Kluyveromyces lactis: one gene and its partners. Each later gene encodes a partner of the first gene's protein in a complex. Links are inferred from orthologs where the notes say so. Each region holds a gene or a part of one and is shown in the gene's direction. Other genes may lie near its edges. The genes, in order: NUP49, NDC1, ASM4, POM34, NIC96, GLE1 and NUP82.

Region 1 (3,028 bases):
AATATTCTCTCAAGATAGACAAATGCAACAAGAAGAAGTTCTGTGTTTCTAGAGTTTTCACAGAAGACGAACGTTTACCAAAAGTAACTTCTTCTCTTAATAAACAAAAGTGGTGATCATGGGTGGATAAACCTAGGATGATCAAATCAGCATCTAACCCGTAGATACAATGTCTTGTATTTGGATTGTAATCCTCTTGTGCTCTAATTGCTCTGATGTAATCCATGATCTTATGTTCACCTTCACCAGGAACCTCATGCCCGGAGAAAATAACCTTCACGTTCTGCCATCTGGTATCGTTGGTGATCTTGTCATGGATGAAATATTTCAAATTCTCGGTTAATTTTGCCATAAATTCTGTTCCTGGGGTAATAGCGTTGGAATCAAATGGCTCTCCCTTAGGCAACTCGTCACCATTTTCAATGGCCTTCTGCAAAGCCTTTTCGGCATCCATGGCAGTTCTGAATCTACGAGCTCTTTGTTGGTTCATCTTTGCTCTTGGGGCCACACCATCGATTGCCATATAAAATGTCTGTTTTGGTTTAATAGTATGGAAAAGATGATCAATATAACTGAAAATTTTGGAATAAACTTCTTCCTCTGATAGTCTTGAATTCACCTCGCTACCATCACCATGCGTACAATTATGCAAAATAGAATTCATATCCAAGTACAAATTGTCGAACTCTGGAATCTGTGATCCATCGATCAATTGAGAAATTTGAGGCCATCTCTCAGAGATGAAATGAAAGAATTTTGGAATACCCATTTTTAGTTAAGCCACAAACCGTAATTAATTGAACACTTTCTGAGGTTTGCTTTACTGACTTTTTTCCTCCAACAATAGAAAAGATCAACAACAACTGGGATTGGATAGTACCAGTAGTATACGTTGCCGAACAATGAGTAACCACTTTTAGTGAATTGTTATAATATACCCTGATATGGATGAAAGACCCTGAAAGTACATTAACCAAAGCTACTGTTTAGTAACATAATCGTTAAGGTAATTTGGTAATTCTTTCCAATGTTCAATCGGAATATTTTTCTTGGTGGTGGCAAAATTTTTTGAGACGAGGTTTATGGGTTACCCGGATCCATAAGTTCAAGCTTTTTTTTCTTGTTTTATACTCTTTGATGGAAGAGTTGAAAACATTTTGAATATGGAAACTGAGAAAGTAAACAGATGAGGTTAAAAAGAAAGATGGAGAGAGCAGAATTGAGACACCAATTGATACTGAACAGTAAGTTGAATTAACTGAATTTACGGCGTGTAAATATCTAATACTCTTATTACTGATAGAAACGAAATGTTTGGCCGTTCTTCTTCTACAGGTCCTCCAGTAGGACCAAGCACAGGAGGAGGATTATTTGGGAATACGGGCAACCAGCAAAGCACTAGCGGTGGTCTTTTTGGTAATAACAATGCCACATCAGGTAACACTGGAGGAGGGTTATTTGGAAACAATAACAATACAGCGACACAGACTGGCGGAGGATTATTTGGCAGTAATCCAGCAGGCACCAACAACAATACGAACCAAACCGCAGGAGGACTTTTCGGAAGTTCTAATAATACAGCCACTGGCTCCACAGGTGGCCTATTTGGTAACTCAGGAGCCGGGTCTGGCGGAGGCTTATTCGGGAATAAGTCAGCACAACCACAGACCACTGGTTTTGGAAGCTCTGGAACTGGAGGAGGATTATTTGGATCCAAACCAGCACAACCACAGACTACCGGTTTCGGAGGCTCTGCAACTGGTGGAGGATTGTTTGGATCCAAACCAACTACCGGAGGCCCATTCGGAAATCAACAACAGCAATCCCAACAATCTGGTTTAGGAATGTTTGGACAAACACAAAATCAATTTCAACAGCCACCACAACAACAGATACAACAGACTCAACAGAGTGCCATTAATTTCATTAACCAATTAGCTATCACGCCGATGACCAAGATATCGGAGCTTCCGATTCAAATTCGTCAAGAAATCGAACAATTGGACCAATTCATTAGAACGCAAGTGTCTTTATCCAAACATCTTGAAGCTGATCTACAAGATCAAACTGAACTATTGGATTCAATCCCTCGTGACATCAAGTATCTACAAAAATTGCATTTCAACGCAACAAGATCACTATCATCAGATTTGAAACGAATCGATGCCATCAAGACACTAGTGGATAAAGATGTTAAACAATTGGAAAATTTTGCTATAATGTTGCAACAACTAGTCAGTAAGGGATTCAAAATATCAAACGTTGAGATAGATAAGTTCTTCCAGGAAAAATTAATCACATACAAACACAAATTAAATGACTACAACGACACTCTAAGCAATATTGACGACGCAGTGTCAGGTCTAGAGAATGATCTCTTTGGGAACGATTCATCCGAAGATGATGATACCAAGGTCGGTGTTAACATTATCGTCAGCGTTCTAATCGAAGAGTTCAAACTATTCATGGATACAGCTGAAAGAATAGCAGAACTGCATCAGAAGTGTAAAGAAATAATAGTTAAATAGTCGATATTATTCTTTTAATACTATAAAAAAAGAAAGCGTTCAAGAACATATTACCTATTGATGCAGATCACTAACTCCTGCACATGCACTGCACCTGCACCGCATCTGCCACTTGTCTCTTCGCAGTCTTCTCTTCTCAGGCTCCCTTTATCTTCCCTTCCTTATTTAGGTCAATGAGTTGTGAAAAAAGGGAATTTGATACGACAAATATAAAAGGAATAAGGATTAAAAAATGGTTAACAAGGAGTAACAGTTTTCCCGGAAACGAAAATGTGAAACAAAGAACAAAGGAAAGGCGTCCTGGTTTTGTGATTATACTCAAGAAATATATATAGGACTGATAAGAATTTTAGAACGTTGCTGGCAACTAACTATCATTATTGGAATATCAGAGACATATTAAGTGTGACATTTTAGTATTAATTCTGTCAGTATAAACTTATTGTAGATCAAGCTTCAGGCGTAAAATCAAGGAGCTAGGAGATTTTTTTTTTGATTAA
Region 2 (3,637 bases), on another chromosome or scaffold:
AGCGTTTCCGAACCCTCTTAACGATCTTTTCAACGCATCTGTCACTGCAGATTTCTTGGCACGCTCGAAAGCGCTGGCTTTCCTCCGTTCATTTTCCACGGTTCCATACCCAATATCCTCTCTGAACGTTCCATCGGCTAACGAAACACGAACAATAGCGGTGCATCCAATACTAAATCGACCTTGCCTTTCGTCAAGGAAATCTATAGTGACATTTTTAACCTCCGTAGACCATCCGTCATACCCAAAAATCTGGTTTGCTAGATTGATTGCTTTCCAGCCTTCGATATATGCTACTCTACTGGATCCAAATCCTACTCTCTTTGAAATATATTCTGGTCCTAGCTTCTTATCTAACTTCGTTTGAATGTCATCTTTACCATTCTTGCCACTTCCTGTATCCTCCATATCTAACAAACTGCAAAAAGGAAAATTGATGCGAGTCGCACTAATATACCAATCCACAAAATCTTCTACCAGTTAAAGACACAAGCAAGGTGGTATCCTGTCCAATTCAACAGCGCAAAATCGTTAACTGTTTGACCTAGTTTGTTTAAGTTTTAGTTTATCAATACAGTAAATTTGAAAAAAGTAAACAGAGCAGTAGCTTAAATCACGTAAACTTGAAAAAGATCTGTTTCTATCGGTATTAAAAGACGCGAGAGCCATGTAAATTGAAAGGAGTTTTGAAAGGATGGCAATGAAACTTAACATTATCATTATAGGATTGGCAGTACCTGTGCTGTCATAGAAGTACTTACATTGGTCATGAAAGTGGCGACGCAAATCATTCTAATATTTTCAGTACTCTATGAGTGACCTTGTATATATTTGTATATATCTTTTGGACAAGAATATCAACTTTTAAGCGTTAAAGTTGACACGAGACCATTGTTACAAGAAAGAGAAAGAGAATATGACACATATTTAGTTGATTTACTTATTTACATGTAACAACTGTTTACGATATCATCAGGTTCGCGTTTAGCGTCTATATGTTGAGACTGACCTCACTGACAAGGAGGTGATTGTCTTTAGTTTCGAGTTACCATGCAAATCAACTATGACATTGGCATAAGAGGGTTACCCGAATATCTAATTTTTTTATGACGCCTGATCTCTAGATCACAACCTGTTAAGAACTTAAAATGCTTGAGATGATATACAAATAAATAATATAAGTAACTCGGAAGGTAATTGATTGTCCTAAAGTCCAATTGACCTTTGTCTGTTTTAAGCATCTAAAATTACTCAGCTTATTGCTATACAGGCTGTACTTTTACCTGTGTTCATCTTTGATTGGTTTGTTTTCATTGATGTCTTACGTGCAGAGTTTAGGACCGGTTGCACCGCAACTGCGTGATTCTCGTTTTACTTACCATCGGATATTCAGTGGGGTATGCAAGAGCAGGTTTAATAATTTCGCCAGGGGTTTACTCTTCAAAACAGCGGTACTTGTCGGTTTAATTACAACCATTACGACACAATGGGAGTTGTCGAAATCTCAGAAATTACTGTTATGGCCAGTAAAAATATTATCTTTCTATGTTGCAATGTTGATGCTAATTATTACCAGGAAAAACTATCTTCATGTCAATTACCTTGGATATACGAGCTGGATAAGCGCATCATATGGCCAATTAGTCTCCCGTAAATGGATCACGTACCTTTTAGTTTACGTTGTGAGCGCATTCTTCCTTTCTTTGACATTTTCCTGTTGCTTTTTCACTCCAGGTACTGGTTCAAGAAAGCATTCACAGCATTACGAATTTTGTTGTCAGTTTATGGTACCTTTTTTGTATTCCATCCAACATGTACTTTTAGATCTTGACAGACTTACTTTCAACTACGGTGCTCAACATCAACATCCTCAGAAGTTTATGGCTTCAAGAATCCATGATTCATTTTTGAAGTGTCTTGTGTTAACTGCAATACTCTTTCTAATTACTCCAATTCTATTAAAGCTTTTATTCGGACATCTAGGCTCTGGTATATGGTCCCATATTAGGATTTGTTGTATATGCTTGTTAATCTTGCAAACATGGGACTTTACAAACATTGGCTTCGACGCCTTTCTATCAATTGGTTGCTTGCATAAAGGTAAACCAATCTCTTCGTTATCTCCAGCTTCAATGGAGACATTGATCACTGGGTTGAGATCAGAAAAATTATTTGTTAAACTTACTGCATTCCAAGAGCTGGCCTACAGAGCCACTTGTGCAAATGTGGAGTTGAGGCTCCCAATTTACCACAATACCTATAGAAATAGCTTGATCTGGCCCGGTATACTTAGAGAATGTATGATTGTTATTCAAGAAACCAACTATAACGTATCCGATTTCTTGCTTACATTGAAGAAAGAGATTGATCCCCAGCCTACAAAACCATCTTTCCCTATCAATAGATCGGTAGATCATTTATTCGGTACCAACCATACTGTCAGAAAACAAAATAATGATGAGGATTCCAGATTACCTGGTGCTCCTCCTACTGAACAAATAAATTCGGATCTACCATCAATGGCTTCACATAGAATCGTTTTAGAGGACAGCAATGTTTTCAAAAACAACGATACCCAAAGAAGTCCGAATCCTCCGAGATTTATCGACTCATACAAACAAGCAATTTTTACCAGACAACCTACAGTACTTTCTGTTTTGACTGATCTTTGGAATTGGATACAGAGAAGAATCAGTCAGTACTTTTTCACCATCGATTCAACTGATAACACGAACAAGAAGCTCTCATTGTTTGAACTTTACCATATATCAAAAGTAAGGGAAGCTGAGAAGTTGTGTCCTGTGCCAGTATGCTATGCCGAGTGTGTGTATTCGATGATGGGTTTTATAGTAAATTCTGTGGATGAAGATCCCAAAGGAGCTGTCGTATCTTCAGTCGGCGAAGTATTAAAAATTTTGGAAAGATCTATTGGCTCTTTAGGTTCGTTTACTGAATTAATATTGGATGGAAAACAAGAAAAGGATTTGAATGATGTCATAAGTGTGTTGTATGACTTATGTATCAATGCATTTTTGGAAATAGTTTTGAAGTATGACACTCTCCTTAACGATGTTTATTTGGACGAAGATGTCGTGAAGTTAACACAGTGGTTGCAAAAAATGTCACAAGATATTTAAACATAGCTTGGCATCAATTGGATTATTCCCAACAGAAGCATGTTACTCTAATAATATTCAAAAGTTATATTGCTTTCATTATAAAAGAGAAGAAATCTACCCCAAACTTCTGGTATGTTATAGGAAGATGTTACATGTACTGAACAAGCGAGCGGAGAATACTTGCTTCTTATTCCAGAAGTCGGAATTATTCATGAAATGTTTTTATTTTCCATTAACCTTCACTAGATCATAATGACCATTGAGGTTAGTATTTGAGTTACAGCAGAACTTTTGTTATAACAAACTTATTTTAGCATTACGTATGAATAAAATACAAACCAAAGCATACAAACGTTATCTTCATTTTTACAAAAAGGTCATTACGTATTTAAAAAGACTTTTTCCATCGGTTTATCAATTCATCGATCCGCACTAGCTTTTCGTGCACAATTAACGTTTCTCGCCAACCGTAAGTCTTATAAATTTAATAGCAACGTCTGTAGTATCTGCTCAAGAAG
Region 3 (2,984 bases), about 1.4 Mb from region 1:
CATGTTTTGCTTGTGTTATTATATATTTATTTTCAGTATATTTTGTCGTCAGAATTTAAACCTGGCATTTTCAACAAGCTACTTGAAAAGGCGTACTGAAGAAGTATCATTGTTGAACTGACCAACAGAGCAGAAAAAGTTAATCACAGAGTCCAAACTGCACGCAACAGTTTGGTGTTACTTCCATCAGAGATATTTGTAAGTGAGAAATGTCTGCAATTTTAGAACAGCGCAAGCTGATTTCTCAGCTTATGTCTTCGGCTGCCACATCGCATGGGCTAACTTCACCATCAACGTGCAAATCATTTATCATTGGTCATTGCCCCTATGACCTTTTCCAAGAGACCAAGCAGCCCATGGGGCATTGTCCACGTATACATTCAGTCTCGCATAAAATGCAATATGAAAGAGATGTAAAGAAGGGCAAGAAATATCCTGAGTTTGACCTTGAGCATTACTCCATCTTGAAGAAGATTCTTAGTGATTGTGATGTTCAAATTGAAATGGCACATAAAAAGTTACAGCATCATGAGGAACATTCGAAATTAGCAGCACTTCTACAAGCAGTGAATCAGCTTGAATCCAAATGTGCTTTAATGCTTTCAGAAATCGATATGCTTATACAAAACGAAGAAGTTATGAAGGCGATGATTCAAAGCTGTAAATATAACAAACTGCAAACAGAAAGGGACACACTCAGCGAAAAATGCAGGCAAATGAACGAAAACACAGGCCAAAGTGCACAACAGAAGCTACAGGTATGCCGTGTATGTGGAGCCTACCTTTCAAGATTAGACACGGATAGAAGACTCGCTGACCATTTCATGGGCAAACTCCATCTAGGATACGTAACTATGCGTAAAGAACTTGACATGGTAAAAAAGAGATTGCACGAACAAGGGACAGATCTTCACACATATCTCCCGCAAACAAGGAGACATCAAAAAGCAGTATATAGAGGTAAATCTTATCGATCGTGAATGTATAAATTTACACATACACTGAAGCTGTTCATAATGGCAAACATTACCCGGATTTGAGTATTCTAATTGAAATAAAACAATTTCAACTAATAAACATCAAGAATAAGATTAGATGAGAATAGCTGTTATCATCGTAGCATGTTCATATGCACCGGTAACACTGTGGTTTGGTGTGTTCTTCAATTTCAAGTAGGATAAATTGATCATTTTTGACTGTTGAAACATTGTTGAGAAAGCGAACTGACAATCCTAAATCATGAGTTCAGTATTTGGCCAACAAGCGCAACAAGAGAACAGGTTTGCAAACTTGCAAATAAATTATCCTCAGCAGCAGCAGCAAAACCAACAACAGCAGAATAGTTCACAATCACTAGTACAGAGCTCTGCCACGAATGGAAAGGAAGAAAACTGGTATAATATAGCTAGAAAGAGAAACATTCCACAATCCGTGATAAAAAGATCGTCTAAACCGAGCTCATCTGGAGATGGATCTTCGAATGACAACTCTTCCCAAAGATCCGGATTCAATAGCGTCCAGTTTGGCACAAAGAAGCCAACATTCAGCTCTACGCAGCCTGCACAACCTACTGATATCGCGACTTATGTGGAATCGAATGAAGCTCCCCCAACAAAATCGTTATATGATTGGCAACGAGAGGATGAGTTCGGGTCTGTCCCCACTAACGTGAACGCAATGCCTTCGTCTAACCAAATACCTTTGACTCAAGAATACACTAAGAGCACAAGAAACGCATTCGACAGAGATGCGTCGAAATCCCCTGTAAAACCGACAGCGGATCAAACAAATGATATATCAAGACAAAAATCGCAAGAGAGCGCAGTAATTGTATTTGGATATCCAGAATCCATTTCAAACCAAATAATATTACATTTCTCAAAATTCGGAAATATTTTAGAGGACCTTGAGGTTCTAAGAGGTGTTACAGGTAACAACATATCCAGTGCTACTATTAGAATTCGTGCTCAAAATAAGGACTCTAAAATTCCTCATAAGAAATATCCTATCTTCACGGGCGATGGATGGATTAAAATCACGTATGACTCCCCTAGTGCCGCTCTGAGAGCTCTACAAGAGAATGGTACCGTTTATGGAGGTTGTTTAATTGGCTGCGTTCCTTATAGCAAAACAGCCGTAGAACAATTGGCTTCGTGCAAAATCGATAAAACTGATGACATCGGAGAAATCCCGTTCAGTTTATCGATGAAACCAAACGGACCTGAATCATCTGATATACAAAATGGGACACAAGAAAGTGCTGATAATAATAAACATGGGTTCACCTTTTCTACTCGGAAATTGGATGTCAAAGATGGAAAGCAGTTGTTTGTGCATAATGCAAACCCTCCTCATGGTGGTCCAAACTTTTTAAGAAATTTGGAGAACAAGTTACGAGAACAGGAACAGCATGGGAATAACCAACAACCAACAAATTTAATTGGAAGGGTCAACAATTGGTTATTCGGGTGGAACGACCTATAGTCTCATTGTCTTTAGTAATTAGAGATGTATTATGTTTATATAATTTACGGATACCTCAAGAAATTCCAGTGCACCAAACTTCAATGAATGTGAGTATTTGAGTGAATAACTACCGAAATGGTGAAGACGATGAATTCCGAAAGGGAGACTTTGATATACGGTTATCATCATCATCACCATCATCGTAATGTAACGTACCAGAATTGATGTCGGGAGATCGATTGAAATAGCCTTGTCTGCCTCTTCTGAAACGATCATCCATTCTGAATCTGTCATCAGACACATCGGGTATGCTATCATTTGTTTCATCCGGATAGTTTAGTAACCTATTTGCAAAGTGTTGTTTAATAGGACTATGAGAGTTTCTTCTCTCACTTATATTATGATTTCTAGATGCATTGGCCAACATGGAATGATCGAAATGAGGTTGTTGAGATGGTATTAGAAGTGGCGTGGAGGGAGCGGAAGGTGTATTACCACTTTGAAGATGAGAATAGCGA
Region 4 (2,845 bases), about 650 kb from region 1:
TCGTCATCTTCCTCTCCAACCATGTCAACGTCAACGACATCACTATCAGTATCGTTATTACTAACAGCAGCCGTATTCTTCGACAGCGGACTCTTCTCAACAGGCGCACTTGCAACAGCCGCTACAGTTGAGCTATGCTTGTTCGCCGCATTTTTCTTTTTCAGATGCATCTTGGCTGTAGAATTGGATAACGTAGTATGAATTTCTGATTGTCTTGAATGAGTCGCAGCAACCCCTGGACGTCCACTCTTCTTTGCACTTAGCGTATTCTTGCTCTTACTTTTCTCCGAGCTTGACCCACTAGAACCTTTATTACTATTGTTACTTGACGATGAATTCCTACCCTTCTGTTTCCTAGAGCTATCCGAATCGCTTGAACCACACAATAAAGATGCAATGAATCCCATCACTTTTATTCCTAACAAAATCAACAGCGACCTATAAATAAATCGAGACACTGAGCGAGTGAGAGAAACCAAAAATCACACACTGAGCCCAAAAAAAATGGATAACCGATATTAATCAGATTGGTTTTTCAAACGGATTGATACTGTTATTAATATATGTTCTTTCTTTCTATCTAAGCAAAGAAAGATAGCAAACAAAAAAAACCTAAATACACAAACCAATCAGGCTCCCTGAAACCACTGGCCCCTTGATATAGTACCCGTACACTGACAAATCCCGGTACTTTTCAAGACTTTACTGCCCTTCTGTAAATGGCCTCCAAAAAAAATTAAGTTGCAGTTAAAATAAGAGAGTTAGTCAATGACCAATGTTCTATTCTCAAAATTGTTTAATCTGCAAAAGTTGACTGTTTCTGGTTTTTCCATGCTGAACAGAACATCAAAACTTAAAGAACGAACCAAACGAAGCAAAAAGAATTTTTTCTTTTCCCTGGCACAAGATGGTGCGGGTAACGAGATGTTTTTCACTTGAAAGAGATAGAGGCCGGCTTGAAGATTCACTTCTTAGTTTAACTACTAAAAACACAGCTAGTTCTTCAATGTTAATAAATAAGAATCGTTCAGTTTTTACCTGGATACGGTAAGTTTCATATCCTGATATTAGTGGTGTTTTTACTGTGGTAATTGATCGAGAGTTTACCCCGTAAATACAGGGATCAAGATATATAAAGGAAAAAGGTGAGAGTAGCAATGGATAATGGAATTTCTGCGCCTGGCACACCGGCCAAGACTTTTCAGACTCCCAATAGGCCTTTGAGCCAGCAGCAATTTCAATCCTTAAGGGAAAAAGCTATCAAACAGTCGCCTGCATTGTATAAACACAAGGTATTGAGTGATCCTACCAGCAAGACTGATGTTTCCAAGTCAGATTCTTCCTCTGTGTTTGCTGCATCTGCGTTCTCTGGCAGATTTGACGCGAAACCTTCAGCATCAACTAATACACATACCGCATCCCCTGTTTTTCGAGGAAAAAGTAACCAGGCATATTCTACACAGCAAGATACCGCACCAGTGACAAATTCTGATCTGCTACCGGACGAACCGGTGGGACAGAAACAACAAACGGATTTGAACTTTTCCGAAGATTCCGCATATGATAAATTGACTGATTTCGAAAACCCGGCGTTGGCTGCTTTCACATCTCGTATGGTTAATAAAGAGTTGGAGATGAGAAGGTTGTTGACTAATGTAGTGTTGGCAATGATTTGGAATCTCATATACAAATTCGTGTCATTATTCTTCCAATTCACTAAAAGGGGATCCCAACTTCGAGACGAACTGTATCTTTTCGTATTGAAAAACGTTGTTTATAAGATTAACCCACATGCCAACATCAATTCATTTTGGTTCCAAATGCTTTCTTGGCAATTTGCAACCAGTATATTCCATACTATTGTCATTTTTAACATTGCATCGTGTCTTTGGAACTTGCTGATAAAAGCACAAAATACGGACATATCAGATTTGCATCTAACCGAGAATCAAAAACGCTTGTTAGGGGTTGTGGAAAGCACCCCCGACTATGGTAGATCCTTTGATCCTTCAATTAATATAGGTAACTCTAAAGTGAAATCCTTAAATGAAGCAGAATCAAAATCCAGCCACAAGCCTTTCATATTCAAATCTTTACAGACTCCAATGAAAATGCGTGAGTTGAATACCCTTCAGCAAGCAGAAGTGAAAAAAAATCATGTATCTTTCTCTTTACAACCGAAGAAAGTAAACGCCTTTGGTGTCGATCACATAACAAATGTCTCCAATACTCCTACAACTTTATTCACATCGACACGCTCACAGCCAGACACTCGTCCCGGATATATTCCAAGCAACCGGTATACTTATATGATGGACTCACCAAGTGCGATGAAGAAGCGCTGAAAAGCATGCGTACTTCGGAGAACGATTCTTTTTCTTCTTCTTTTGGTTTCGAACCTCTGATAGCAGTTATGATAAGAATGTTATTACTTACATGGCTACCTACCGCGTATAGTTTATAAAGTTTATAGAAGAGAAATTTACAGCGTTACCAATGGTTTGGGAATAGAAACTTTAGCTTGGCCAAGGCATCTTGAGACATGGCTTCAGGTTTTGTTGAAATGGAGTACTTCATGGCATCCTTTAGACCATCACCGTTGTTCATAAATTCAGGAAGTTGCTTTGCCATTTCTAAAATGACCCGGGATGCCAAATGGTTAGCATTTTTGGCATTGTTCTGTAAATTACGGATAACAGTTTGTACAGACACTGGTTCTTCTTCGTCTCTCCATGCATCATAATCGGTAGACATACAAACCATCTGGTATAGAATTTCACATTCACGAGCCAATTTCGCTTCAGGGATCACACTCATGTTGATGACATCTCCACCCATCAGACGG
Region 5 (4,126 bases), on another chromosome or scaffold:
ATACTGGTTCCAGGAAATCTTGGGCTGCCGGTGACGCAGTGGCAAGAGCTGTCAACATTGCATATTTGGTGAAGAATGGAAGTCCAGGTACAATTCCTTCCGTACTAACCGCTAAGACATGGGGTTTTTATGACGTTCTTTTCAAAGGTAAACCATTCACCTTCCAGCAAAGGGACACTTTCGGTTCTTATGTGATGGAAAACGTTCTTTTCAAGATATCGTTCCCAGCAGAATTCCATGCTCAAACGGCAGTGGAAGCAGCTATTAAGGTGAATAAACAGTTGGCAGAGTTGGGCAAAACTTACAAAGACATTAAAAAGGTCAGAATTAGAACTCAAGAAGCCGCTGTGAGAATTATTGACAAGGAGGGTCCATTGTACAATTATGCTGACAGAGATCATTGTATTCAATACATGACTGCTATTCCATTAATTTACGGTAGACTAACGGCTGACGATTACAGTGATGAAGTAGCAAGCAACCCTGAAATTGACGAATTGAGAGCTAAGATGTATTGTACTAAAGATGACCAATTCACTTTGGATTATCATGATCCATCAAAGAGATCAATCCCAAACGCTTTGTTAGTAGAATTGAATGATGGGACTGTCTTAGATGAAGTGGTCGTAGAATATCCAATCGGTCACAGACTAAGAAGAAAGGAAGGTGTCCCACTATTGATGCAGAAATTCTACCACCATTTGCGTGAACATTTCGCCGGCGATATTGAAAAGGTGGAAGCTTTAATGGAAGCAAGTACAGATGACGGTTTCTTAAACTTAACTGTTGATGAATATGTCAACATGTACTGCGATTAAGCTTTGTCCTTCGCACAGCATCATCAACGTATAACGACCACAATCAATTTTTCATTTCATTCAACTCTTTTTTTGAACTAAACGAAGTAAAACCTACATTTCAATGGTAACCAAAACAACATTTTCTATTCTACAAAAACTGACCACAGGAATCAAAAGATTCTGGCAATCATCAATTCCAGATTACAATATATAATTAACTTATTTTCTCTTGAGTTAATACATACATACTTATGTTTTAATATTAATTACTGTCATGATCAATTTCTGGCTGTCCATTTTTTTGTCCCGTCACATGTTCGGGTAACGGTGCAAAACATTGTAGTTAAAAAAAATTAGACAGAAAACAATAAAAGAAAATGTAAACTATCAATACGTTGAATAGATGATGGAAATAATTCATTGAAGATACTTTGAAAATCAATACACATTGTTGCTATCCATCGCATCAAATTATCTTTAACCCGTTCAGATTTTGGAATTGTAAAATCCACACAATCGTGGAACTATGAATATCAACAGTCAAATCAGCAGTGATACAATGCTATCTGCATTTCAAAACGATGCAAAGACTAGTGGCTCCACGTCTAAGAGCTCATCGAAATTATTCAATGAGCTTTTAGAAACGTCAAAGAACTTACCTTCTACTTCATCTGACCTTGGAGCTATCTTATTGAGTGTCAATGAGATGAAAAAGAGGGCACAGGAGATGCGTAAGACAATTCCTCACGATTCCAATCATACAAAAGCTCATTATCTCTTAGCAGGAAGTGGACTTGAATTTCACGAAATTGAGAGTTCCTTGAAGAATCTTAAGTCATCAGAGTTGTTAACCGAACAACGGGTTGCACAAGGCTATAACGATGGTGATTTGGACACTTATTTACATATTAAGAAGGATGAGAATATCCTTTCCTCCATTGAACAATCATTGTCTTTAGCAGCGAAGGATTTTGATAATTTCATTAATCAGAACTTCAACCTAGATTGGAAGCAAAGGAAAGATGAAGTAAGAGAAAGCTTTGGGATCCTAGTCAAGAAACGTCAGGATAGTTCTAACTACGATACGACTAATTTGGCTCCTTTGGATCCCAACGGTCCAATATTTTGGGGGAAACCACCTGGTAGTGGTATCTTGGATGGTGATTTAAATTCAAATGTCAATGGAAATCACATCCTTAGAGAAAAGTTTGAGAAATATGCCAAAATTATTTACAGGTTTAACAATTCAAGACAATCACATAATGACGATTTTCAATTAACCAAAGAGTTCATTGCCATCTTTCAGAATACGACCGACTCGAAGTATAGACAGCTACTTGACGGTTGGGAGATTATAGATAATGCAACAAATCAATCCCCAAATATTGTTGAGTTTTCCAAAAAATACCTAGAAAACCAGTTCTTGAGCTATGTTGACAATTTGTATTCAAAGAATCCAAGCGAAGGTTTACCGACCAATGTTAACAAAATTAGAGCATTTATTGACCTCAAACTGAAGACTGGTGAAAATACTTGGAAATTTAACAATCTTACGATTGTGAATGGAATTCCCGTATGGGCCTTGATTTTTTATTTGCTAAGGGCTGGTTTACCGCAGGACGCGCTAGAAGTAGTTGTTAACAACAAATTGAGTTTCAAAAAAGTGGAGCAATCTTTCCTAACATACTTCAAAGCTTATGTAACGTCTCCTGATCATCGTCTTCCACAGGAATTTGTCTCAAGGTTGCATACAGAATATAACCAGCATATCAAAAACACTTTGGACAGCGATCCGTTCCGTTTGGCGGTCTACAAAATTATTGGCAGATGTGATTTGACAAGGAAGAATATCTCTTCTATTACTCTAAGCGTGGAAGATTGGTTATGGATTCACTTGATGTTAATCAAAGATGATATGGATATGGATGATCCAGTATATGAAAGGTATACCCTCAGCGATTTCCAACATACTGTTGTCTCTTACGGTGAGTACATGTTTAAAAACTATTATCTACAGGCCCTTTTGTTAAGCGGACAATATGAACTAGCAGTACAGTACTCATACAAAATAAATGAAATCGATGCTGTTCACTTGGCAATTGGTCTAGCGGCAAATGGCATGTTACATGTGTCATCTTATAAAAAGGATGAGTTGATCTCCGTGAATGATGGCCAAACAAGGATAAACTTTGTTAAGGTATTAGGAAATTACACAAAGTCGTTCAAGTACTCTGATCCAAGAATAGCTGTCGAATATCTAATTCTCATCGCACTAGTGAATGAGAAAGAGCAGATTGAATGGGCGTATGAGGCACTCAGGGAATTGATCTTGGAAACTAAAGAGTTCACCATACTTCTCGGAAAGATCAACTCTGAAGGAATTAGGATCCCCGGTGTAGTTGAAGAAAGACGCCCATTATTACAGCTTGAGGACCAGAAGGACTTTTTGTATAAGATTACCGAACAGGCTGCTCGTAGGGCTGATGAAGAAAGAAGAATTCATGATAGTTTGTTGTTGTACCAGTTATCAGAAGAATATGACATTGTTATGTCCATTATCAACAAGTTATTGGGAGAACTTCTAAGTAGCACTGACCTCAATCAATCCCTCTTTAGGTTGAATGACAACAGCGAAACGAATTACGTCTTAATGGCAAAGAAGTTAATCGAAGTGTACATCAACAACATCGAAATCTCTAAAAAGGTTCAGGCAAGAAACAAAGAAACATGTATTGTCTTGTTGAAACTAGCTGATATAAGAGCATCATTCCTAGCACGCCAATGGCAAAACACCCTACAACAGATTGAAGATCTCGATTTAATTCCGTTCACGGATGAAAGCTCGACCAGAAAAAGAGCACAAGAATTTACACATTTGGATGAGAATATATTAAAGAACATACCTAACCTGTTGATAATTACAATGCTATGCATTTCTAACATCATAAAGCAGTTGAACGAAAGTGATTACCAATCTTTGACTAAAAAGCAGCAAATCGATTCTCTCAAACGTGTTGCTAAAAATTGTATGATTTATGCTGGTATGATTCAATACAAAATGCCAAGAGAAACTTACAGCATATTAATCAATATAGAAGTTGGTTTGTAGCAGAGCTCTCATTTATGAGCACCTGAGTTATGTCAGAACCCAGACGTCCTACCATAATAGCATACAATAAAATAACCATGTGTAAGTCGATTGTTATTCGATATAATTGCCTGATAGATTATATATGCATATGTATATATATACATTTGAACTGCCAATTACCTTTTCAGCAGTGCATTGTTGTAGTGAGTAGAAGATGCAACGAAATGTACAAGAA
Region 6 (3,291 bases), on another chromosome or scaffold:
CTGACTTCATCGCTGGTCATACCAAATGATAACCCACCAAATCTGTTACCTGACTTGTTGGAGATACCTTTGTATTCTCTGATTCTTGGTAGTACAATTTCAGTCAAAGTGGATAAGAACTGAGACATTGGACGACCTTTCAATGTAATGACAGCACCCATTTGGGTACCTCTTCTGACCTTCCAGGCCGGAACATCATTCCTAGAGAACAAAGCCTTTGGTTTACACCCGGTAATTTGTTGCAATTGTAATGCTGCTGAAATTGGTAGATATTGGTTCTCTTTTGCATCTCTGACGTAACAGTTAATAACAACGGACTCGATGTCTGGAATGTTCTTCCACGTTACTGGATGAATATCTGGCAATTGAGCACTTGAGCCCTTAGGTTTTCTGGGTTCTCTGTTAATGTGATATGGAGAAGAACCGTCCCATTCTCTTTGCTTCAACCCGAGCTTCGTTTGGCTTTTGTGGGAATAATTTATCAATAATAAATCGCTTTGTAAAGTATTATAATAATGCTCACGAACACGGTCTTGATGTGTAACAACAGGCTTGAATGCTGGAGATCTAATATCGTTTTTACTATATTTCAATTCAGGAAACCTTGGGGATAGCTTGCTCTTGTCGATCTTAACCAAATGATGCACTGGCTTAACCAAAGCACAAGCAGCTTTGGAGACCTTTGAACTACTGTGGAAACCACGTACCACTTGCATTATCACTTGGTATCTTCTCACAGATGCGAACGAATGAATGTATAAACCTACGAATGGGAAGGAATACTGCTTTAAATCGAGTGAAACTGATCAAATCTCTATCATTATCTTACAGCTTTAGCTCGAAAGGTCGAAAAATTTTTAAAACTTTCAAGTACAGAGAATTCAATATACGTCACGTGACAAGAATCAACAAAAAGTGAAATTTGATTAAAAACCAGGTAGAGCTCAGTTGATGATTATAGAGAGTGTTGACCTTTCAGCCCTTGTGTTGATGCATTGCAGCCGTTTTTTTTTGATCCCGTACTTAAAGACACGTAGCTGGATTCTCCATTTAGGTAATAACAGTCGAACTTAACCCCGAATCGTTTACTTGAATTGAGCTTTTTACCGATTTGATAAAGTAAAGAAAGCGATTGACACATATCAGGACAATTGAGATGAGGTTCTCATTTGACGAATTGTACGAGAATGCTGAACGGAAACAGAGTCAGAATACCAGCAGCAGTGATTCTGACTATGAATTAGACGGGGAGTTTACGTATATTGGCGATCCATCTGATGGGATCCAGTTAAAACTACCGAAATTATACCATTCTTCAAAGAATGACGGCCAAGGTGAAGAGCAAGGGTTTAGTTCAGGAGATACAATTTCTTTAGAGGATGTGGTAGAACCAGAAATAGTTTCAATGCTTTCCAACTTAAATATCACTCTTGAAAGGAATGCACTACCGCATCTTACAACGAGAGGTCACGAGAATAAAGCTTTAGGCCCTGTTCTTATTGACGAAGCAGAACTTTATTACCAAGAGAAGAAGGATTTGATTGACGAGGTGGAACAACACACCTTTCCTATGCAAGACCAGGTGCTTGAATCTGTGTGGAATGAGGAAATTGATTCAATTGAAAAGGTGAATCAACGTTTAATTAAAAGCATAAAGGATAAAAAGAAGAGGGAAGAGGAAGCACGTATCCAGAAAGAATGCGAAGCGGAGAAGCGCAGACAAGAAGAATTGAAGCATAAAAAGGAGATGGAAAAGAAGTTGAAGGAGGAAGAGAAACGGAAGATTCAAGAAATGGCAGAAAAGGAGAAGAAAGCTGAAGAAGCGAAGAGAGTAGAAGCCCTGAAAAAGAAGCAAGAACAAGAACAACTGGAGAGGAATAAACTTAAACAGTCCAAAGAATCTACAAATTTCAAGTTAATCGAAGAAACTTTTACTAAATACAAAACCATGATTCAGACAATTAAAACAGAAATAATTGAACCGGTGAAGGCGGATCCCACCTTGAAGAAAACTTTAGCACAACATAAGAGGAAAATTAATCCAAAATTCGGACAATTAACCAACAGTACTGCACAATTGAATGCAATCACCAATGAACTTACCGAACTGGTACTTCAAACGAAGGCTAACCAATTAGCCTATAAATGGATTCTAAACTTTATAGCTAAGGCGATTGTTTCCCAAGCAGAATCTGAGGCCAGAGTGAAACCTGAAAGCGCTTTGCCTTTAGGAACACTTGCGCTAAGTCTTCTTGCATCATACCCGGAACTCAAAGAGTTCTTACTGGCGAGACTCATCAAGAAATGTCCGTTTGTTATCGGTTACACGTGCAGCATAGACACAGTCGAAGGAAGAACCAGAATGGGATGGAAACGTCAAAGTGACAACAGATGGGAAGAAGATATTTCATATGATGAAAGGATGGGTGGTATGATTACCTTGTTTGCTGTCATCACAAGATTACCTCTACCGCAAACGTACATTCAGAAACTTGTGCATCCTTTCCCAATCTCTTGGTCATGGAGAATGCTAGCTAGAATCGGCAACACTCCAAAGGATCTACTTACAAATACACACTTCGTCGTTCTTGCCTACTGGTGGGAGGCTGCGGCAGCACAATTGCTCCAAGCATACAACGTTCAGGCAACAAAACTACTTGAAGTTATTTCGATTGATTTAACTGCACTTGTTGCTGACAAAAAATTCGTTGGTGCAGCAAGACTCCGCATTATTAACGAGGAATGGCATAATACAAATCAAATATCATCATTCCCAGATATGGCAGCATAACGGCTAGAGTTTTCTCTAGTAAAATATATATATATATATATATGTATGTATACCTTCAGATCTTCGTTTTCATCATGTGTTCAGGGCATAGTATATGCCTTATGTTCTCATAAAACTTTAATAATGAGGATTCAAATATTTCCAGAGAGAGAGCGTACCTCATTGCCTAGAAATACTCCGCAACTGTTGAACAAACCATGAACCCATTTTCACGTGCCCATTTACCCTTTTCTTTCTTATTCTTACTTGCAACAGTCTTTATACTCAAAGAGTTCGAACCTTTAAAAACGTAGTTTGAATCTTGTGAATACTTCCATGTGGTTATCATACAAACGAATAACGATCGGATCATCAAAAACTCGCAGTAAGACCTAGAGCAATGACAAGGCATTGTGACGTTTCGATACCGGATTCACCTGAACCTCCTTTTCCAATTACCACATCGTTCGTCGATGTAATAGCTGGTTTCGGTCGTGGATCAGCAGAGTTAGGAATTCCTA
Region 7 (3,980 bases), about 1.9 Mb from region 1:
CTACAGAATCAGATATTTCACAATGTTTAGTGCCTATCGCTCGGATTTTCTTCCAAATATGTGGTGTATCTATTATAATCCTTCTTTTCATGAAATACGCCTTGAATAAAAGCACCAATATGTTAAACAAACTACTGAGTGTTATAAAATTCGTCTTGTTGCTCCAAACTTCATCTGCAAATATCCCATTGTTTCTAATATTTGAAATACTGACTAGCGTCACACCGGACATCACACCAATTTTCTCATTATGTCTACAAAACCTCACTTTTTTCCAATTTGGTGGTACGAACTCCATTGCAACTGTCAATCTAACTAATGCATACAATGGTGTTAGTAGCAACTATAACATATACGTTGTTGGTGTATTAATGTTCTTGTCTAACTACGCACCATCCATCTACTGGGCTCTCTCACTAATTCCTCAAAGCTACAAACAGAAGACACTACGCTTGCAGCATTACTATATCACCGGAACATGTCTAATGATAGCGTGCATTGCACTAAGGTACCACCTATTCATTTGGTCCGTGTTTAGCCCGAAACTATGCTACTACGCGGCCTGGTCCCTCTATAATGTCGTCATGGATTTCGCCATTACCCTGCTTGGCGTTTTGTGAATTCTTAGTTTTTGAATGAAAAATTTCGATAAAATCAACATTTTGTACCATAGAAATTCAAATTGGACTGTAAATGATCATGAACTTTGATAGCCGCAAGGCAGGACAAACTTGCCAAAACTTATTGTTGAGGTTCGAATTGGTATCGGCAACCACATACCCACCATAACAAATCGGTTATTTTTCATATTATATAAAGAGAGAAATGTTGAGAGTGACTCGCGTGCTATTTAACCAAGTGAAAAGCGAGGCATCTGGCCAAGCTGCCAAGATCGTGTCATCATGTCCAGCTGGCACTCCATTGAACTTACAAATCAAGAAATCCGGTAAGGAACCCGTGGCATTAGAAGACAGCGAATACCCTGAATGGCTCTGGACAGTGCTTGATGCCAACGTCCAAGCTGAAAAACTAGCAGCTGATCCAATCAAGCTAAGAAAAAAACAATTAAGGATAGCCAACCGTGCCAACATCAAACAAAATAACTTCTTAGCAAAGATTTAACGGACCCACAGTATGATTCACGCCTGTAAATATATATACATATAAAAATGACATAAAGACACATATCTAACATAACTTTTTGATATCTTTCGTACACTTCCTTTTCTGCAATACTGGATCTGCTATAGGTATTTTTTTTTTTTTACTATTAAAGTTCAAAATATTCAAAATATATCGACGATGAACTACTCTCACGCTTCTTGAAATACACGTAACACAGATCAACTGGCGATCTAACTGTGGTACCTTCTCTTCCATAACTTTAACTGCCGGATATTGAACCAATATAGTGGGATGTTACTCTTCAATACAGAAGATTTGAAGGCAATCTTCCAGGAAGTGTCTCTGAACCCTTCCGACCGTCTTGTCTGCAACAATTCCAACACTATTTATTTATGGCAGGACAACATCTTAAGAGTGCAATCAGACCACGAAACGCAATACAGGAGTTATAATGTGGAGCTTCCATTCGTTCCAGAACAAATGGTCATCAGTCCGTCGGGGGGCCTTGTAGCATTTCATGCGAACAGCGAGCTCTATGTCATGGAAGTGAATGAGCAATCTAGATTAAGAAAGCATTTCAATACCAGTCTAGGGATAAAAAAACTATTATGGCATCCTCTGGCTACTTATGGGTTATCTTTCGTTATTTTGCATGATGATAGTACAATTCGAATTTATGATCTTGAAGACCTAGAACCCGAATCTATCACTGTTTTCAATCGTAAATCGAGATCATTTGGGTTATCAGACCATGTGGAATCAGTTTGTGACATTGCATTTGATCCAACCGGTTTGACACTTTATCTGCTGAGCTCCTTCAATTACTGTGACATATATGCTATCCATCCGTGTCTACCAAAGAATTTTTCCCTACGCAGTAATGATACATCAAATGTCACATCAAGGACGAAAAATGGTTCTTTAGCGGATTACATGTTGCACAAATCATTGTCTTTATACAATAGCCTCGATAAACAGCTAAAGCTGATATCAGGTTCAGATCCTGATGTGGAATCCGATTACCTCACCTTAAAGCATGATCTATTGAAACAAATTCAATTTTTCGACAACTATAAAAAAAATGATGGTATAGACACATTCACGAGCAAAGCAATCAGGAACTCTGTACCACAGGGCCCGTTCATTATAAAAAAATTTCCGACAGCTTTGAATGCGAAAGAGGTCACAGGCTTGACAATCATACCGGTTGGAGAACGTTTGGGCCTTTTGAATCTTCAATTTATAGATGGAACAAACGTTGTGTTGTTCTCCGATTCTGAAATTGTCATGAGTTGGAGTTTACGCTCCAATACTACATTCAATAACCTTAGTGTAATAACAATGTTCAATGCAAAAGGTCAATGCCAACTACTAAACTCCTCGGAACCTAAATTAGTATTTACTGGTGATAGCTCCACGACTATCATGGAAATGCCATGGTTGGAACCATTGGCACAGTGCATAAGGCTTCATGACTTCTCTATCATTGATGATGTTAAGTTTGAAAATAAAATAAGAACAGTTTCAGGAACTTTCCTCGGTGTTTTATCTACCTTGTCTGGTGATATTCTTTACAACGGCAATTCCTTCAAGGTCATCGAGAGTAACGACAAGAGCACCACACAGAAACCCATAAACAGAACCGATGAAGTGAAATATACATATAAACCATCGTTGCCAACGTCTGGAAAGGAATTGGATATGCTTTTGACGAAGTATAAAACAGAAGCCAATGGATTCATTTCAGGCATACCGGACTCTTTGGCTCCTCTCCCTTTGAAGAACAATTCCAATGAACGTCAATTGGAAGTGGTTTCTGAACTTTACAAGGAAACCATGAAGCGCGTCAAGTTGGGACAGATGATTTTATTTAGAATGTTCAACAAATCCAACGAAGAAGTGGCTGAACTCCATCGCCAATTAAGAAAAACCAACGAGATCGAAATGTTGAGAAATAAACTTAACGGAAACTTGGGAGACCTCCAAGAAAGATATTCCAGGTATGAGGAAAAGTCCAAGACGTTGGAAAAACGACTTGACAAGTTAAAAGAGACATTCTCCAGTATAGAAAATAACGAGAAATTAAGAACAAGCAGTATCAGCGAGGCCGAACTAGTGTGGTTCAAAAGTATCAAAAACCAGGTATTAAAGTTCAATAACTATGTACATCTGACAAACAAACTTCGCGAAGAACTAGAGTTTTTGGACACACAGCTTAGATCAACTACTAAAGGAGACGATTTCTTTTCCGAGCTAGAATTTAGTTCCCTACAACAAATGTTACTGAACGACAAAAAGGTCATCAATTCTTGTATGAATGAGTTAAGCGCATCCATTGAAGATCTAGCGGTATAATAGCAATCACCATCTACATATCTTTTTTTTTTCGTTTTTAGTTTTAAAACTGGCATATACCTTACTATATTATGTGCTACTTTTTATATCATTTCATTATGTGAATATGCTACTAACCGAATTTTGTTTTAACGTGTGAATGGCGCTCAAAAATCGGTGACTCTTCCGTTGAAAGAATAATCACCATGCCTTAATGGATCCTGCTTTGGTCCACCAATTTCTCCTGTTTTAGGATTCTTTTCGCCTTCGAACTCTGGTATAGTCTTCATAAATTCTGGAGAAAACCCACCAATATCGTTCTTCAAGATTGGCGATTTCACCGATTCCATAGTATGATCCGATTCAAACTGTGCATTATAAGAATCAATAGCTTCTTGAGAAGACGCTAGCTTCTGCAGCCTTTCAAACTCTTCCTGGTCTTCCTTTGGTAATGGTGGTGGACCTGCTCTTCTTTCTTGAAATGTTCTAATTTGATTCAACCTGACAAAGGCTGGTCTTAG

The links.
Region 2: NUP49 (region 1) and NDC1 share a complex: the UniProt entries of both Saccharomyces cerevisiae proteins name them as parts of the nuclear pore complex. The link is inferred for Kluyveromyces lactis from reciprocal best matches to the Saccharomyces cerevisiae genes NUP49 and NDC1.
Region 3: NUP49 (region 1) and ASM4 share a complex: the UniProt entries of both Saccharomyces cerevisiae proteins name them as parts of the nuclear pore complex. The link is inferred for Kluyveromyces lactis from reciprocal best matches to the Saccharomyces cerevisiae genes NUP49 and ASM4.
Region 4: NUP49 (region 1) and POM34 share a complex: the UniProt entries of both Saccharomyces cerevisiae proteins name them as parts of the nuclear pore complex. The link is inferred for Kluyveromyces lactis from reciprocal best matches to the Saccharomyces cerevisiae genes NUP49 and POM34.
Region 5: NUP49 (region 1) and NIC96 share a complex: the UniProt entries of both Saccharomyces cerevisiae proteins name them as parts of the nuclear pore complex. The link is inferred for Kluyveromyces lactis from reciprocal best matches to the Saccharomyces cerevisiae genes NUP49 and NIC96.
Region 6: NUP49 (region 1) and GLE1 share a complex: the UniProt entries of both Saccharomyces cerevisiae proteins name them as parts of the nuclear pore complex. The link is inferred for Kluyveromyces lactis from reciprocal best matches to the Saccharomyces cerevisiae genes NUP49 and GLE1.
Region 7: NUP49 (region 1) and NUP82 share a complex: the UniProt entries of both Saccharomyces cerevisiae proteins name them as parts of the nuclear pore complex. The link is inferred for Kluyveromyces lactis from reciprocal best matches to the Saccharomyces cerevisiae genes NUP49 and NUP82.

Annotation. Positions count from the first base shown.
Region 1 is NC_006042.1:2,088,976-2,092,003, reverse strand, and holds NUP49 (FG-nucleoporin NUP49), read left to right. Parts: upstream 1-1,310; coding exon 1,311-2,528; downstream 2,529-3,028. Other genes in the region: chromatin-binding exonuclease XRN1, read right to left, coding at 1-769. UniProt on the Saccharomyces cerevisiae protein: Functions as a component of the nuclear pore complex (NPC).
Region 2 is NC_006038.1:139,184-142,820, reverse strand, and holds NDC1 (Ndc1p), read left to right. Parts: upstream 1-1,316; coding exon 1,317-3,137; downstream 3,138-3,637. Other genes in the region: recombinase RAD52, read right to left, coding at 1-408. UniProt on the Saccharomyces cerevisiae protein: Functions as a component of the nuclear pore complex (NPC) and the spindle pole body (SPB), probably by playing a key role in de novo assembly and insertion of both structures in the nuclear envelope.
Region 3 is NC_006042.1:687,782-690,765, reverse strand, and holds ASM4 (FG-nucleoporin ASM4), read left to right. Parts: upstream 1-1,239; coding exon 1,240-2,484; downstream 2,485-2,984. Other genes in the region: LUC7 (Luc7p), read left to right, coding at 210-980; NUR1 (Nur1p), read right to left, coding at 2,594-2,984. UniProt on the Saccharomyces cerevisiae protein: Functions as a component of the nuclear pore complex (NPC).
Region 4 is NC_006042.1:1,442,398-1,445,242, forward strand, and holds POM34 (Pom34p), read left to right. Parts: upstream 1-1,157; coding exon 1,158-2,345; downstream 2,346-2,845. Other genes in the region: PSR1 (phosphatase), read right to left, coding at 1-407; MEU1 (S-methyl-5-thioadenosine phosphorylase), read right to left, coding at 2,491-2,845. UniProt on the Saccharomyces cerevisiae protein: Functions as a component of the nuclear pore complex (NPC).
Region 5 is NC_006041.1:1,253,996-1,258,121, reverse strand, and holds NIC96 (linker nucleoporin NIC96), read left to right. Parts: upstream 1-1,326; coding exon 1,327-3,909; downstream 3,910-4,126. Other genes in the region: PDH1 (putative 2-methylcitrate dehydratase), read left to right, coding at 1-818. UniProt on the Saccharomyces cerevisiae protein: Functions as a component of the nuclear pore complex (NPC).
Region 6 is NC_006039.1:1,325,351-1,328,641, reverse strand, and holds GLE1 (nucleoporin GLE1), read left to right. Parts: upstream 1-1,156; coding exon 1,157-2,791; downstream 2,792-3,291. Other genes in the region: MRPL7 (mitochondrial 54S ribosomal protein uL5m), read right to left, coding at 1-716; FMN1 (riboflavin kinase), read left to right, coding at 3,171-3,291. UniProt on the Saccharomyces cerevisiae protein: Functions as a component of the nuclear pore complex (NPC).
Region 7 is NC_006042.1:156,109-160,088, reverse strand, and holds NUP82 (linker nucleoporin NUP82), read left to right. Parts: upstream 1-1,416; coding exon 1,417-3,480; downstream 3,481-3,980. Other genes in the region: mannose-ethanolamine phosphotransferase LAS21, read left to right, coding at 1-620; MRPL37 (mitochondrial 54S ribosomal protein mL54), read left to right, coding at 826-1,122; SDH8 (Sdh8p), read right to left, coding at 3,627-3,980. UniProt on the Saccharomyces cerevisiae protein: Functions as a component of the nuclear pore complex (NPC).